2 linked regions of the Saccharomyces cerevisiae S288C genome follow. The protein of the gene in region 1 interacts with the protein of each later gene in a pairwise test. Each region holds a gene or a part of one and is shown in the gene's direction. Other genes may lie near its edges.

What was found. The genes of interacting proteins can lie anywhere in the genome.
Region 2: the proteins of PPZ2 (region 1) and CAB3 interact in binary tests that used the Saccharomyces cerevisiae proteins (3 or more experiments, as listed by UniProt).

The regions. Positions count from the first base shown.
Region 1 is NC_001136.10:1,333,186-1,337,453, forward strand, and holds PPZ2 (salt homeostasis regulator), read left to right. Parts: upstream 1-1,635; coding exon 1,636-3,768; downstream 3,769-4,268. Other genes in the region: PPM1 (leucine carboxy methyltransferase), read right to left, coding at 1-784; phosphatidylinositol N-acetylglucosaminyltransferase GPI19, read left to right, coding at 4,167-4,268. UniProt on the Saccharomyces cerevisiae protein: Essential for the maintenance of cell size and integrity in response to osmotic stress.
Region 2 is NC_001143.9:273,299-278,135, forward strand, and holds CAB3 (phosphopantothenoylcysteine decarboxylase complex subunit CAB3), read left to right. Parts: upstream 1-1,984; coding exon 1,985-3,700; downstream 3,701-4,837. Other genes in the region: MIF2 (Mif2p), read left to right, coding at 96-1,745; cytochrome c1 heme lyase CYT2, read right to left, coding at 3,891-4,565. UniProt on the Saccharomyces cerevisiae protein: Component of the phosphopantothenoylcysteine decarboxylase (PPCDC) involved in the coenzyme A synthesis.

The DNA.
Region 1 (4,268 bases):
ACGTGGGCATTTCCAAATTCCTTGATTCTTTCAAGTTGGACTGCATAATGGCGCCAAATCGGTCATTCGGTTGAGAACCACCAATTGGATCGTAGGATATCCATAGTCCATGTGAAAACTTCGACATGATTGTATTTATTAGTAATTGAGACTCATTATTATGCATGTAGCACAAAAGACACTCAGATATTACGATAGTGGGTATTTCGCGCTTAGTGCATACGTCTAACAAACGGGTTGTTTCAGTGATATCGTTCAAATCACAAGCAGCAAGTTTATATCTTCCTTGATCAATCAAAAAGGGTGATTTTGCTGTATCTTCCTTTGACAAACCGAGGGAGATACGCAAAATCTCACTTTCACGCAAAATACTATTCTTCAATTCTACTGATTCGTTGTAGTCAATGTCCACATAAGCTAAATGAGGGAACATTTGTAACAGGGGCAGCATTCGTAAATCGGAACCGCAACCTAAATTTACCACTTGAACCTTCTCATTTGCAACCAAAAATTCCAATATGGCCGCGTCTATCCCCACAGTACGCAAGTATGTCCCATAGTTCATTACCGGGAAGGAAGACCGCATTGCTTTGTCTACTTTTCCAAAAGCTCGCCTACTAAATTTCTTGAGAGTAATCAAGTAGCTGCGATGCCATTCTGTATACTTTTTGGATAGGTCCACCGACAATCTTTGCAGGCCGCTTGAAGGAAGATATCCGACTGATATAGCAGCTAATTTGCACGACAACGCATCATAGTCAGTCTGCTGTATGATTCTCTCCATGGCGACTTGTTTGTACTCTTTATCATCTAGTTTATGCGGAGTCACAAGGACCCTGACCCATCTTCTTTTTCCCCTATCTTTCCAACTCCAGATTTTTCAGCCTTTGAACCCAGGCGCAAGGCGCAATTGCCCAGAACTCAATCCCCTTGCTTGACCATCTGATGAACAGATAAGTACCTCTTATCTGTGCGTTCTGCTCAGAAGTTTCGCTGCAGTTTTCATTGATTGATAACATAGTGTGCTGCTGACGGAATCGCCTTAAAATGCCTGTACGAAGTAAAATATGGCAGCCGCTGCACTAAACCTTGTAGTGCTCGCTCTTACTTTATTGCGATTCCCACAATCCAAAATTTGCAGTCGCCGCTACGATGGTGTCTGACAACTTCTTCCACATACCAATGTACGTCTTGCCTTCACACCTTACTGCTTCTTATGGCATCCCATATTGGATCCCCCACGTCGCCGCGACAGGCCTTGGACGCCAGCCGTTGCGTTGCACTTGCCAAAGTAACTCACTTGCCAGGGTCTCAGCGATGCACAGAAGAAGGCGGTCCCTTCTTGGAAGAGAGAAATTGTTTACATAACTATATAGTATCTCACAGATACAAGCATACGGTAGCCATAATATACTTCGCAAACCGTACCTTTTTGCGTAAGAAATACACATATAGTAGGTTTTGTCGCCTCCTCTTCCCCCTTTGTCTCAGCATAGCATTAACATAGGTGCCTCAGAGTGACAAAGAGAGAAATAGTTAACTAGAATACGGTGCAAATTCAGAGAAAAAATATCAGATTCTATTCTATTTACCCCCCCTATAACTGCAGAATCGTACATTTGATCAGCAAGTACCATGGGTAATTCCGGTTCGAAACAACATACCAAGCACAATAGCAAGAAGGATGACCACGACGGTGACAGGAAAAAGACACTAGATCTCCCACCACTGACAAAATCGGATACTACACATTCGCTGAAATCGTCAAGGTCGCTGAGGTCGCTGCGGTCGAAACGCTCAGAGGCGTCGTTGGCATCTAATGTTCAAGCTCAAACGCAACCCCTCTCCCGCAGATCGTCCACTCTGGGAAACGGCAATCGCAACCATAGGCGATCAAACAACGCCCCAATCACTCCTCCTAATAACCACTACCTAACCTCACATCCCAGTTCGTCAAGAAGACTCTCTTCCTCTTCGAGAAGGTCGAGCATGGGGAATAATAACAATTCAGAATTGCCCCCGTCAATGATCCAGATGGAGCCCAAATCACCCATCTTGAAAAATAGTACAAGCATGCATTCCACTAGCTCTTTCAACTCTTACGAAAATGCGTTGACTGATGATGACGACGATAGGGGGGATGATGGCGGCGAGAGCCCCTCAATGGCCAAAGTTACTCGCATCAACACTAGTTCTTCCGCAGATAGAGGCTCCAAGCGTACTCCTTTAAGACGTCATAATTCATTACAACCGGAAAAAGGTGTAACAGGATTTTCCTCGACTTCATCGAAATTACGCAGAAGATCAGACAATACTCTGCCAGCAAGTTATCCTTTAAATGCAGAAGCAGGAGGGAATGGCAGCGACTATTTCTCAAACAGATCAAACTCGCATGCATCATCCAGGAAGTCGTCATTTGGCTCCACTGGGAATACAGCTTATAGCACACCACTGCATTCACCTGCGTTAAGAAAAATGAGCTCGAGGGACAACGACGATAGCGGAGACAACGTCAACGGTAGAGGCACCTCACCTATCCCTAATCTAAACATAGACAAGCCTTCGCCGTCAGCGTCGTCAGCGTCAAAAAGAGAATATTTAAGTGCATATCCAACACTAGCTCACAGAGATTCATCATCTTCACTTAGTCCGCGGGGCAAAGGACAACGGTCTTCATCGTCTTCCAGTTCCAGTCAAAGAATATATGTTTCCCCACCATCTCCCACAGGTGATTTCGTACACGGGAGTTGTGCAGACGGTGATAATGGATCTAGGACTAATACTATGGTCGAAATGAAAAGGAAAAAACCAGTTCGTCCAGTGGACATAGATGAAATTATCCAGAGATTACTAGATGCCGGCTATGCCGCAAAGAGGACCAAGAATGTTTGCTTAAAGAATTCCGAGATTATTCAAATTTGCCATAAGGCTCGTGAATTATTCCTTGCCCAACCTGCTCTCTTAGAATTATCTCCCTCGGTAAAAATAGTGGGTGATGTTCACGGCCAATATGCAGATCTTTTGAGACTTTTTACCAAATGCGGTTTCCCCCCCATGGCAAATTACTTATTTTTAGGCGATTACGTAGATCGCGGTAAGCAGTCCCTGGAGACCATTTTACTATTACTATGCTATAAGATTAAATATCCTGAAAATTTCTTCCTCTTAAGAGGCAATCATGAATGTGCCAATGTTACAAGAGTCTACGGGTTTTATGATGAATGTAAACGACGTTGTAATATCAAGATTTGGAAAACCTTTGTTGACACGTTCAACACGCTACCGTTAGCAGCCATCGTCACAGGAAAAATATTTTGTGTTCATGGTGGACTATCACCTGTTCTAAATTCCATGGACGAAATTAGGCACGTTAGTAGGCCCACCGATGTACCCGACTTCGGCTTAATTAATGACCTTTTATGGTCGGATCCTACAGATTCATCGAATGAATGGGAGGATAATGAGCGTGGAGTTAGTTTTTGTTACAATAAAGTGGCTATTAATAAATTTTTAAACAAATTCGGATTCGATTTAGTGTGTAGAGCACATATGGTGGTGGAAGATGGTTATGAATTCTTTAATGACAGAAGCTTAGTTACAGTGTTTTCGGCTCCCAACTATTGTGGTGAATTCGATAACTGGGGTGCTGTCATGACCGTTAGTGAAGGCCTACTCTGTTCTTTTGAGTTGTTGGACCCACTGGACAGTACCGCTTTGAAACAAGTGATGAAAAAAGGCAGGCAAGAACGTAAATTAGCCAATCGCTGAAAAACTAGATATTAATGTTGCAGTTAATAAGCTCATTGAAAACTTTCTTTGGTTGTTCCTCTTCCTTCTTTTTTTCGCCGATAAAGTTGTCGTTATAGTTTCACTTATATCTTACGAGAATCTAAATAAGTAAATATTAATATTATTCAATTTCTCATTTCCTTTCCTCTGGGTTTTTTGAGAGTACGAGTTTTATTGCTCGCTTTTTGTATTTTCACTTTGCCGGCTTTTTCACTATTCCCTATTGTCTTAATAAAGTTCCTGCTTGGGCCCAGTAAACTTTTAAAATTTATGTGCTGAAAGAAAGTTGAAACAATCACAAGAGGAGAGCAGATTTGCCAAAAAAAGAATCTGAGCTGTTTGTTCCTGTCTAATACTAAAAGATATAAATAAACAATATGTATACAAAAGAGTACTACTGGTTTTCACAATATATGATAATAACAAGCACTTTGGTGCTCACCATAATATGGTCCATCTTACCATCATCGCTGGGTGAG
Region 2 (4,837 bases), on another chromosome or scaffold:
ACGCGTTAGAAATGGTGATGTAAATAAATGAATGTTAGAAAAATACATACGTTAAACAAATAAGTTAGACATTAGCACAGGACAGCACTTCACTCATGGATTATATGAAATTGGGGCTTAAGTCCCGTAAAACTGGTATTGATGTTAAGCAAGATATACCCAAAGATGAATACAGCATGGAAAATATTGATGATTTTTTCAAAGATGATGAAACTAGTCTTATCAGTATGAGAAGGAAAAGCAGAAGAAAATCATCGCTTTTCTTACCATCAACGTTAAATGGCGATACTAAGAACGTATTACCGCCATTTCTACAGTCATATAAATCTCAAGATGATGAAGTTGTCCAAAGCCCATCTGGGAAAGGCGATGGATCAAGACGATCATCTTTGTTAAGCCATCAATCAAACTTCCTGAGTCCAGCCAATGATTTCGAGCCTATTGAGGAAGAACCAGAACAAGAAGAAAATGATATCAGAGGCAATGATTTTGCCACACCAATCACACAGAAATTGAGTAAACCTACATATAAAAGAAAGTACTCCACTCGGTATAGCCTTGACACTTCAGAAAGCCCTTCTGTAAGGTTGACACCTGATAGAATCACTAATAAGAATGTTTATTCAGATGTACCTGATTTGGTTGCTGATGAGGATGACGATGATAGAGTAAACACTTCTTTAAACACATCTGATAACGCATTATTAGAAGACGAATTAGAAGATGACGGGTTTATACCTGAAAGTGAAGAGGACGGTGATTACATTGAAAGTGACTCATCTTTGGATTCAGGCTCGGATTCAGCCAGTGATTCAGATGGAGATAACACCTATCAAGAAGTAGAAGAGGAGGCTGAGGTGAACACAAATGACAATGAAGATGATTATATAAGACGACAAGCGAGTGATGTGGTTCGTACAGATTCAATAATTGATAGAAACGGGCTTCGGAAATCTACAAGAGTCAAGGTGGCGCCTTTGCAGTATTGGAGGAACGAAAAAATAGTATATAAGAGGAAGTCCAATAAACCCGTTCTTGACATAGACAAAATTGTCACATATGATGAATCTGAAGACGAAGAGGAGATATTGGCAGCACAAAGAAGGAAGAAACAAAAAAAAAAACCTACACCAACCAGACCTTACAACTACGTACCTACGGGGAGACCAAGAGGAAGGCCAAAGAAGGATCCAAATGCAAAGGAAAATTTGATTCCAGAAGATCCCAACGAGGATATTATAGAAAGGATAGAATCTGGAGGCATAGAAAATGGCGAGTGGCTGAAACATGGAATACTGGAAGCTAATGTGAAAATTAGCGACACTAAGGAGGAAACTAAGGATGAAATTATTGCATTCGCGCCCAATTTGTCGCAAACTGAACAAGTAAAAGACACGAAGGACGAGAATTTTGCCCTTGAGATAATGTTCGATAAGCATAAAGAATATTTTGCTAGCGGCATATTAAAACTACCAGCTATTTCTGGACAAAAGAAATTAAGCAACTCATTTAGGACATATATTACGTTCCACGTGATACAGGGAATAGTCGAAGTAACTGTATGTAAGAACAAGTTCTTGAGCGTTAAAGGTTCCACTTTCCAAATACCGGCATTCAACGAGTACGCGATTGCCAATAGAGGGAATGATGAAGCCAAAATGTTCTTCGTTCAAGTGACCGTTTCAGAAGACGCTAACGATGACAACGACAAAGAATTAGACAGTACGTTTGACACTTTTGGGTAATTATGATGTGAATATTCTCATTATGCATGCTATGTACTGAAGAAATATAACTAGGTCCATACGCTTATACTGTTAAACATGTGAACTTTTCTGTAAGAAAATGAATCACGTAAAATTTCGCACCGAACTTTCGTAGATGAGAGAACAAAAAGCAGAAAAAGAGAAAGAACAGTAAAGTAACACTTAGTTAGCATATTTAAATAAAAGTCTAAAGGACCAGCAAAGAGTTATTAGGTGTGATGACGGATGAAAAAGTGAACTCAGATCAGAATATGAACGGTAAGCAGGGAGTTAACTTAATTTCATCCTTGCCTACAACACAAGTGCCGGTTTCAATTTTGACCAACAAGGAGAGAAGAAAAAGTATTCACGATGAATCAAATTTCGAAAGATCTGATAGTCATGAAGATCAATCAAAATCCAACTCTAATAGGAGGAATATTTACAAAAACGATTATAGCACAAATTTGAGGGATTTCTCTTTTGCCAATCTGAAGCAAAATAGTGAAAGGAACAAAGATGGCCATGAAATACAGATCAACACCAGTATGCCAGCTAATACAAATGGCCAGCAAAAAAGGTTTTCACCTTCATTACCTTCTGCTGTTTCATTTACGGTGCCCGAGGTGGAAAGGTTGCCGTATCATAGATATTCGATATCCAATAAACCTGGAAAGCAGCAGCAGCAGCAGGAACAACTGCAGCAAAATCAACAACAAGAAGAGCAGCAAAAGGCACAACTGCAGGAGCAAAATCAACGAGCAAAACAGCAAGAAGAGGTGAAGCAAATTCAGGAGCAAGTGCAAAAAAAGCAAACTGAAAGACAGCAACTGATAGACGAAAAGGAGAGGATAGCGAATGCAATATTTAAGGAGAACACTACTAATGATGGTACTGATATCAGGAAACATTCGGTATCGAGTGGTACGAGCAATAGCGAAGATGAAGTAGATTCACCTTCGATGGAAAAAAATTCTATCGTTCATATGCCAGGTGATTTTATCTACTTCAATCCCAAGTCAAACGCTTCTAAACCTATCACTGCAAAGGCGGCGCCATTATCGGCTAATAACTCCACACATAAAAACAAGGAAGTTATCACTGCACCCACAGGGCCTCGTGTACCCTTCACAGAGTTCTTTCAGAAGGAAGACGACAAGAAATTCCACATTCTCATTGGTGCGACGGGCTCAGTTGCCACAATAAAAGTACCTCTAATTATTGATAAACTTTTCAAGATATATGGGCCTGAGAAAATCTCTATTCAGTTGATTGTCACAAAACCCGCTGAGCATTTTTTGAAAGGGCTCAAAATGTCAACACACGTTAAAATTTGGAGGGAGGAAGACGCTTGGGTATTCGACGCTGTGAATAAGAATGATACTAGCTTGAGTCTGAACTTGATATTGCACCATGAATTAAGAAAATGGGCTGATATTTTCCTGATTGCGCCTTTGTCAGCTAACACACTTGCTAAACTGGCCAATGGTATATGTAACAATTTGCTAACTTCTGTGATGAGAGATTGGTCACCACTGACCCCAGTGTTGATTGCGCCTGCAATGAATACATTCATGTATATCAATCCTATGACAAAGAAACACCTGACGAGTTTAGTGCAAGACTATCCGTTCATCCAAGTTTTGAAACCGGTGGAAAAGGTATTAATATGCGGAGATATTGGTATGGGTGGTATGAGAGAATGGACAGATATTGTAGAGATCGTTAGGAGGAGAATCAATGAAATACGGAAAGCTAGGGACGAGGAAACTGGTGATAAAGAGCAAGAACAAGAAGAACAAGAGGGTGCTGACAATGAGGACGACGATGATGAGGATGACGAAGAGGATGAGGAGGACGAGGAGGAGGAAGAAGCTCTAAATGAAACAGCATCCGATGAGAGCAATGACGAGGAAGACGAAGAGGATGAGGAAGACGTGAAAACCGAAGTTTAAATGCATTAGAAAAGAGTATTTTGTGTTATGTTTTATGTTTTATTTTTTTTTTTTTTGTTTATTCCTTAAAAGAAGATTACTGCTTTTTCATTCCCTAGTTTCTAAATTGAGTGCCTAAATAAGATTAAATAAATATGTATGTGGAAACTAGGGAGGGTATGTTTTTATTTACAGGAATAGTTGTAGTAATTCAAAAGCCTAAAGATTTCCAGAACCGTAATCTAAAGCCCTCAAAACTGTTTAATTTTGGTCTAACATCGAGATAAATAAGTGGTTGTTGCTGCGAGTTTGCATCGTTCAGATCGGTGGAATAGAAATCGATTACGTAGTCGACGGTTTTACCGCATCTATCTATCTGCCAATCATGTCTATCAAAAGGTTTGGCCAGGTGCAAGATACGGGACCTGAACCAGGCCCTTGGTGTCAGTTTTTTGGAATCACCTTTAAAATTTGTTAATTTGATACCGCCACACGCTTCACCACCCTGCTTGTCTTCCCAGCTTTTAATGTAGTTCCAAACCCGCTCATTGATGGAGTTATGTAAAGGCACAACCACCTTCATGTCATCTGAGTTCGGATCCCAATTTTTTTTCATCATTGCCTCGTAAAATTGTTTCTCCGACGGGTATATCCAGTTTCTGTCAGAATTCGTCCTTGGTATGGTGGAAACCTCTCTGGACTGAGAGAGATCCACCGTGGTGTGATATTCAGGCGTTTTATCGTTATCTTGTGGGTTTGCAGAGCACTCTAGTTGATTGCCTGGGGCAGTAGCACCAGGATGCGCTTCGTTGCCATGTTCTCGTAGCCATAACTTTTTGGTTTCCTCATCTACGGGGCATTTCCCCTGTTGGTCTGAAGACATCATAATATGTAAAATAGAGACGAATGAAAAGCACGTGAACTAACAAACTATTTACTACTACCGAAATGTGATGCTTAAGCCTTTGGCCTCTGCAATACTAGCGATTGCTTTTTCCCTGATTAGTAAGCTACATCATTTATACTACATCTTTCTGTCTTAGAAGGCTTACAAACATCGAAAAGCTGGAACTTTGATTTCGAAAAAAATATGCCGTTACCCGTTGCGGGTCCCTTTTTTTTAGAAGGCCGGCCCAGAAGTCGCCATTATTTTTAGTC